Linked DNA regions of Oryctolagus cuniculus. The main gene of each other region encodes a partner of the protein of the gene in region 2 in a complex. Links are inferred from orthologs where the notes say so. Each region holds a gene or a part of one and is shown on either strand. Other genes may lie near its edges.

Region 1 (3,807 bases), on a different chromosome or scaffold from region 2:
CCAAAGTTTAAATGCATACATCATCTAGACACAGCAATTCTGTTTGCAGGAATTTATCCAATACACATAGAACTTCTCACAGCTGTACTAACCTTGGGATCAGGGCCTTTGACTCCTCGGCAGTCTCTGGACAAAGGTTGGCTAAACAGGCCAACTCAAACTTATGAAGCTTCTTCTGGAGCAGCAAGCTGGTCATAGAGAGGAAAATCCAAACAAAACAACCCAATCAAAGAATGATCAACAAGAAAAACTGTGGGGAGCAAAGAGAAAACGTGAAGCATCTGCAACCTTCTCTTTACGGTTATGTGGGCTGCAGAATTCTACTTTCAAATTACTTCCTGTTTCTGCCTCTAAAGAACAGGAAGCTGCAGTGAACTTAGGCAGAGATGAAAGAGAGGAGACACACCAGGTAGAGGAGCACCTGCCACAACCTGTGAAAAACTACTTCATACCTCAGACGATACCACTTTTTGCCCAGAAATTTATTTTCTTGTTACTATTCTTTCTACTATACCTCTTTGACTCTTATATTACTAATTTTTAAAAAATTATTTATCGGGAGGGGCCAGCGTTGTGACACGGTGGGTTAAGCCACCACTTGTGACACAGGCATCTCATAAGGAGTACTGGGTTAAGTCCTAGGTGCTCTGTTTCTGATCTAGCTTCCTGCTAACATGCCTGGGAAGGCAGTGGAAGATGGTACAAATACTCAGGTCCCTGTAACTCAGGTAGGAGACCAGGGTTCCTGGCTCCTGGCGTTAAGCTTGGCCCAGACTTGTCTATTGTTGGCATTTGAGAGGTGAACCAGTGAATGGAAAATTTCTGTCTCTTCCTCTCTGCCCTTTTAATAAATCAATCTCAAAAAAATTTTTTTGAAGAAATTAACTTATTTGAGAGCCAGACAAAGAGAGGCATTGAACTCCTGTCCAGTGGTACACTCCTCACATGCAACAGCCAGAAGGAAGGTGGGAGCTGGGAACTCAGTGGTGACATGGTAACAGAAATCAACTACTAGGGCCATGACCTGCTGCTCTGCAGAGGGCACACTAGCAGGAAGCTGGAATTAAAAGTGGGACTGGGGGCTGGTGCTGTGGCACAGAGTGCGAGGTTGCTGCCTACAGTGCCAGTATCCTATATGGATGCCAGTTGGGAGTCCTGGCTGCTCCACTTTGGATCTAGCTTAGCTCACTGCTATGGCCTGGGAATGTGGTGGAAGATGGCCCGGTCCTTGGGTTTCTGCACCTGCATGGGAGACCTGGAGGAGGCTCCTGGCTCCTGATCAACCCAGCTCTGGCCATTGCGACCATTTGAAGAGTGAACCAGCAGATGGAAGACCTCTCTCTCTGCCTCTATGTAACTCTGCCTTTCAAATAAATGAATAAATCTTAAAAAAAAAAAAAAAAAAAAAGTGGGACTGAACTCCAATATGGAAGGCAAGTATCCCAACTAACGTCTTAACTGATAGGTCAAACGCCCACCCCTCTTAATTTTACATTAAGCACATAATGTTAGCTGTTCCCGATTTAATAGGTATTTTGACAGGGAGGAAATTCTCTTTAAAATTTATCTAAATAGGAATACAGACTACCCTATTTTGTGCATACTGGTGTATGAAACATATCTTAATTAAACATACAGAGGCCGGTGCTGTGGTATAGCAGGAAAAGCCACCACCTGCAGTGCCAGCATCCCATATAGGCACTGATTCTAGTTCCAGCTGCTCCACTTCTGATTCAGCTCTCTGCTATGGCCTGGGAGAGTAGTGGAAGATGGCCCAAGTCCCTGGGCCCCTGCACCCCCATGGGAGACCCAGGAAGAGACTCCTGGCTCCTGGCTTCAGATTGGACCAGCTCTGGCCATTGCAGCCATCTGGGGAGTGAACCAGTGGATGGAAGACCTCTCTCTCTCTCTCTCTCTCTCTCTGCCTCTGTCTCTCTGTAACTCTGCCTTTCAAATAAGTAAATAAATAAATCAGTAAACATACAAGTCCTGTTTGGAACACTGTCAGCACAAATACTGTCTTGAATGTTCATCACTCTACCTCTTTTCTCTTTTTTTTTTCTTTTAAAAACTTATTTATTTGAAAGGCAGAGTTACTGAGAGACAGATCTTCCATCTGCTGGTTCACTCCCCAAATGGTCATAACACTGGAGCTGGGCAGATCCAAACCCAGGAGCCAGGAACTTCTTCCAGGAACTTCCCACGTGGGTGCAAGGACCCAAGAAATAAGGCCATCCTCCACTGCTTTCTCAAGAGCATTAGCAGAGAGCAGGACCGAAGTGGAGCACCTGGGACTCCAACTGGTGCCCATATGGGATGCAGGTGTCCCAAGCGGCAGCTTTACCCGCTGTGCCACAGCAGTTGCCCCACCTCTGCCTCTTAAAATAGAGCTCATCTGTGGTAAATTTAGTTTCAGAAATGATCTTCAGCTTTCTGATAAGAAAAAAACCAGGGTGGAGGAGGCATTTGGCCTAGCTGTTTTTCCTATAGCCTCCTTTAAGCCCAAGCACCTCACTGTGTCTCCCAGAAAGAATGTTCTGGATCTACATTTATTACCATGCAAAGATCTCTATGATGTTTTAGGCACAAAATAAGTAAATCTGCTTAATTAAAAATCTTTAAATTCTATCAAACTGTGATTTAGGTATAAAAGATGGTGGCTCAAGATAATTTTGGCCTTATAAACAATTAAAATTTTTTGACAATGATGTTACTTTACTTATATTAAATTCACACGGGGGTTGGAGTCATGGCATAGCAGCACAAGCCACCACGTGCAATGCCCAGCATCCCATACAGATGCTGCTCTGAGTCCTGGCTGCTCCATTTCTCACTCAGCTCTCTGCTTATGTGCCTGGGAAGGCAGCGGAAGAAGGCCCAAGTGTTTGGGCGCCAGTACCCATATGGGAGACCCAGATAAAGTTCCTAGCTCCTGGCTTCAATCTTGCCCATTCCTGGCCGTTGCAGCCATTTGGGGAGTAAACCAGCAGATGGAAGACCTCTCTCTCTCTCTCTCTCTCAACCAGCAGATGGAAGACCTCTCTCTCTCTCTCTCCCTCCCTCCCTCCCTCCCTCCCTCTCTGTAACTCCACCTTTCTAGTTACAAAATAAATCTTATTTGAAAGGTGGAGTTACAGAGAGGGAGAGGCAAAGGCAGAGAGAAAGAGAGAGAATCTTCCATCCTCTGGTCCACTCCCCAAATGGCTACAACATCCTGAACTGGGCCAATTGGAAGCCAGGAGCCAGCAGCTTCTTCTGGGTCTCCCACATGGGTGCAGGAGCCCAAGCATTTGGGCCATCTTCCACTGCCTTCCCAGGCACATTAGCAGAGAGCTGGATGGGAAGTGAAGCAGCTGGAACTGAAACCGGCACCAGTATTGATGTTAGCACTGCAGGTGGAGGCTTTACCTGCTACAGCACAGCACCGGCCCCTAAATAAATCAATCTTAAAAAAAAAAAAAAAAAAAAAAAAAACAAAAACCTTCACAGATGATGTTGGGAAAAGCAAGAGTGAACAATGTTACACATGTAGATGTCCAACAAGTTGGACTAACAGACTTTCTTTTAGCACTCACCTGCGGACACTGGCAATGGTCTCTCTGTTTTTGAAACGACTGAAACGGGCTGTGTAGGTCAAAGTCTTCATGAAGACCTCCGAGAGTTCCTGTTCATCCTCTGCACTCTCGTTCTGCTGCTTGCGATGCTCCAGAAGCATATGCACCTCGGAATTTAGAAGTGTCTCAGCTGTTTCAAACTCTGTCAGAGGCACAAATGTAAGCTGAGAAGAATCCTTCAGGGGCAAGCGTT
Region 2 (4,440 bases):
TTTCTGTATGTAAGGCACTGGGCACTAAGCCTTGAAAGATTCTGGAAGAGAAATCCTTGCCTTCCAGCAGCTCAGATTTAAGATGAAGTCTCGAGCACTTTGCTCTAAAAACAATGAACAGGGGCTGGTGGGTAAAGCCACCACCTGCAAGGCGGCATCCCAAATGGGTGCCAGCTCAAGTCCTGGCTTCTCCACTTGTGATCCAGCTCCCTGGTTAATGGCCTGGGAAAGCAGTGAAAGACGGCCCAAGTGTCTGGACCCCTGTCACCCACATGGGAGACCCAGAAGTTGTTCCTGGCTCTAGGCTGTCTCAGCCCTGGCCATTGCAGCCACTTGGGGAATGAACCAGCAGATGAAGATCTGTCTCTCCCTCTAAATCAGACTTTAAATAAATCTTTTAAAAATGAATGAAATGTGAACTGAAGTGCTAAGAATTAGAAATACACCGCACTGATAAGGACTAATCAGAGTGAACTTCAGTAAGAACAGTCACTGTACCACAACGCAAACATCTACCTTCTCTGAGTTTTGATTCCTAACAGTCACACAGCCAGGCAATCCATAAAACCTCTCTAGATCCAACTTCCTAAGTAAAATAAGGACACTACCAATGCTGTCTACATCTAGTCCAGCAGTAAGAAGAAAGTGACACTGGTTTTTTAAATATTTTAAAGACAAAGTGACAGAGAGGGACAGATCTTTCATCTGCTAGTTCACTCCCCAAATGCCAGGTATGGGGCAGGCCAAAGCCAAGAGCCAGGAACCTCATCCCGCTCTCCCACGAGGGTGGAAGGGCCCAAGCACTCAGGTCATCTTCCTCTGCTTTCCCAGACACATTAGCAGTGAGCTGGATTGGCACCCACATGGGATGTCGGCATCACAGGTGACAGCTTAATTTGTTATGCCACAATCCCAGTGCCAAAACTGATTTTTTAAAGCCATATAAATAAGTTATTTTGGTATCACTATTTAAAGATCTGAAGAGAAAAGAATGATTCTTGTGGTGTGAGGAAGGCAGTTTTGGGAGGTGGGATGGTATGAGGACAGCAACAAGAAAGTGAGATTCATAACTGAGAAGATGGGGACAACAAGCAGGTTGTGAACTTTTTTTTTTTTTAAGATTGATTTATTTAGGGGCTGGCGCCATGGCTCACTTGGTTAATCCTCCGCCTGCGGTGCCAGCATCCCATAAGGGCGCCGAGTCCTAGTCCCGGTAGCCCCTCTTCCAGTCCAGCTCTGTGCTGTGGCCCGGGAGTGCAGTGGAGGATGGCCCAAGTGCTTGGGCCCTGCACCCCATGGGAGACCAGGAAGGAGGCACCTGGTTCCTGCCTTTGGATCAGCACATCGCCGGCCGTAGCAGCCATTTGGGGGGTGAACCAACGGAAGAAAGACCTTTCTCTCTGCCTCTCTCTGTCAAATAAAAAAAATTTAAAAGGAGGTTTATTTATTTGAAAGTCAGAATTAGAGAGACAGAAGAGGAAACAGCAACAGCTGTGACTGGGCTCAGCCTAAGCCAGGAGCTTCTTCCAGGTCTCCCACATGGGTGCTGGGGCCCAGGCACTTGGGCCATCTCCCACTGCTTTTCCAGGCCATTAGCAAGGAGCTGAATCGGAAGTGGAGCGACTGGAAACCGAACTGGCACCCATATGGTATACCGGCACTGCAGGCAGCCCCAGCTGAGCCACAGCACAGGCCCCAGGTGGTGAATTTCTGAAACAGGAAACCTTTCTAACGGTTTATCTCACTTTGTAATGACAGGTAGATAATCTAGGCTTTTAAAGAGGACTTTAACATATTTTAAATAAAGCCCAACAGTCTAGCAAAGCCTAAATGGTTAACAGTTCCAGATCCTCATAACTCTGGGAGACAACAGATGACCCAGTTGTTACTAGTTTAATATGTGAAATCCAAAACTAAGGCGGTAGGGTGAGATTGACACACGCCAATAAACCAGGATCCGAATACCCTGACTCCTACAAGTTGAGCGCTGGAATGCCCGCAGATGAAGATCTTTCACCACCCGACGCTCCGCCTAGCTTTACCTGCCTGTACCGACTTCGACATTTCTGAACTGACCTCTGTAGCCAACAGGACGCGACACTATGCCCGATTTACATTTACAAACACAGCAGCACGACACAGACCGCTGAGTGTTTCCGCAGATGGAAACCGGGAGACAGACCCACACCCCACGACTCGCCCTCTTCCAGCCTTTCGCGGCTTTCCCGGCCTCAGCCCCAGGGGTGCCCGGCTGACCGACGGCGCAGAGGTGCGCCCAAGGGGGACCCCGGCGTCCTGCCGGGGCAGACGCCTGCAGAGTTCTCCGGAAACTCCTGTAATTACAGACCACGAGCGCGGGCTCCCCGAGGCAGCTGGAAAGCCGGTCCGGGTGTGAGCAACTCAATCACAGCCTCGGCGGGCAGGACGCCGTGGCGCCCCGAGCCGCACACGTGCGGTTCGCTCGGCCCACGAGGGGCTCAACCCGCGCGCGACCCCACTGCCGATTTCCCCCTCTTTTCAACCCAAAAGTTTGTCCCGTGAGCCCCAGGCCTCAAAGACAGAGCGCCCACGGAGCTGTTAGCGTGTCCGAAGGGTCCCGAGACCCAGCCCCACGAAAAGTGAGGACCTGCGAGGAGAGCCGCGTCGCGGGGCGAAGAACAACAGGCCAGGGCTCGCGCCCCTCACCTGGCGGTCGCAGCCCTTACCAGAGAGAAGAGGGCAGCCCCACGCGACCCGCCGCCGACTCCCTGCGCCTCCGCCTCGGCCAGCCGTCCCCGCCGGCGCTGCCGTGGCTTCCCGCTCCTCGTCAGCGCCCTCGCCAGCCTGCGCGCACGCCCAGCGCCGACCCGCCAGCTCAGGGGTCTCGCCACTGGCGGCGGCGGCGGCGGCGGCTCCGCCCCGCCCGCCACTTCCTGATAAGGCAGCTAGGATCAGTCCCGGCAGCCACCGCGGCGCCTTCGCTGCCGAGAACGCGCATGCGTCATCGCGTACCCCGCGAGAGTAACCGCGGGAGCTGAACAAGCCGGCTCGGGCGTCGGGATCTCCATGACAACGGGAAGGTGGCTGGGGCGGGGCGGAGGCCGGGACTCAGGTGGGAGGCGGTGCTAAAGAAGATGGACGCAGCCTGTCTGTGCCGAAATTCGAAGTTAGGAAGTCCTCTTTCGGCAGGCAGGCTCTGGAGTCTAACCCGAGGGCGACGCGTTCTGGCGGCGTTTATTGTGTGACTGTCGCTCAGATGCCGCTCACCGGCACCTGAACCTGAGAGAACGTTGTAGCTGTTTCAAAGTGGCGAAAAAGGCCCCGTGGAACTAAGTGACTCGTTCGCAGCAGAGAGAGCAAAGGCGAGCCCACACGGGCTCCTTCCCGCACACCTGTGAGCTGTCTGTCACAGCAAAGGATCTCGGACTGCGACAGGAGGTGCTGGAAGCGAAACAAGAATAAAACGAAAACCATCGCCTGGCTCGCGCTCTGCCGCTCTCCGTTCCTGTTCTGAGAACCTACAGCAGCAGCGTGGCCAGCGCTTACCTATTGTGAAGCTGCCCTTTAATTACTGCTGGTTACTCCTCAAGTTACTTAACCTGTATCTCCATCTCTTCTGGGAAATGGGGATAATAATGGTACTACCGTGATGGGCTACTTGGACTGTGGCGACAATGAAGTAACGCATAAGTCAAACCAGAGCCTTTGCCTTGAGCAATCCGCTCCGAATTATCAGGATTTGGGGCTGGTGTTGTGGCACAGCTGGTTAAGCTGCCACCTTTCACACCTGGATCCCATATCAAAGTGGTGGTTCACATCCCAACTACTCTGATCCAGCATCCTGCCAATATGCCTTGAAACGCGGAAGATGACCCAAATACGTAGACCCCTGCCACCCACATGGGAGCCCGGGAAGGACTTCCTGCCTCCTGGCCTCAGCCTGGTGCAGACCTCAGTGTCGCAGCTGTTTGGGGAGTTAATCAGTGTTGGAAGATCTGCCTGTCACTCTCTGTTGTTCTGCCTTTCAAATACATTAATCTTTAAAAAAAAAAAAATCAGTATTTACCCAAGGAATTCATGGAAAAGTGGCTTTGAAAATATGTTTATTTTGGTGCAAATTATAAATGATAGATGTTGTCAACAGTGGTTATCACTCTGGCTTCTACTGCAAGTTGCCTGTGATGAGGTCATAACACTGAAAGCAATGACTGCATTTATTCAAAACACTTTTAAGTGATATCCTGTACCCTGAATCATTTCCTCAAGAGAAGTCCATAAATAGATTCATATGATCTATAATCTGTAATTAGGCCCGTTCTTGTGTCAGAGGTGCTTAAAAATGGTCATCACCCTATAAATGAACTCAGAAAGGGGTCCTGTTTCTCTGCTGCCAAGGTTGACCACATGACCAATTTGTTTCCCAACAGCCACATTAACTTGATTTCAGAGAGTCCAATATTC

The links.
Region 1: GTF2E2 (region 2) and POLR2D share a complex: the UniProt entries of both Homo sapiens proteins name them as parts of the TBP-based Pol II pre-initiation complex. The link is inferred for Oryctolagus cuniculus from reciprocal best matches to the Homo sapiens genes GTF2E2 and POLR2D.

What each region holds. Positions count from the first base shown.
Region 1 is NC_091434.1:121,259,027-121,262,833, reverse strand, and holds part of POLR2D (DNA-directed RNA polymerase II subunit RPB4), read right to left. Parts: intron 3,757-3,807; coding exon 3,576-3,756; intron 189-3,575; coding exon 93-188; intron 1-92. UniProt on the Homo sapiens protein: Core component of RNA polymerase II (Pol II), a DNA-dependent RNA polymerase which synthesizes mRNA precursors and many functional non-coding RNAs using the four ribonucleoside triphosphates as substrates.
Region 2 is NC_091433.1:80,687,283-80,691,722, forward strand, and holds the start of GTF2E2 (transcription initiation factor IIE subunit beta), read right to left. Parts: upstream 2,929-4,440; 5' UTR 2,706-2,928; intron 1-2,705. UniProt on the Homo sapiens protein: Recruits TFIIH to the initiation complex and stimulates the RNA polymerase II C-terminal domain kinase and DNA-dependent ATPase activities of TFIIH. Both TFIIH and TFIIE are required for promoter clearance by RNA polymerase.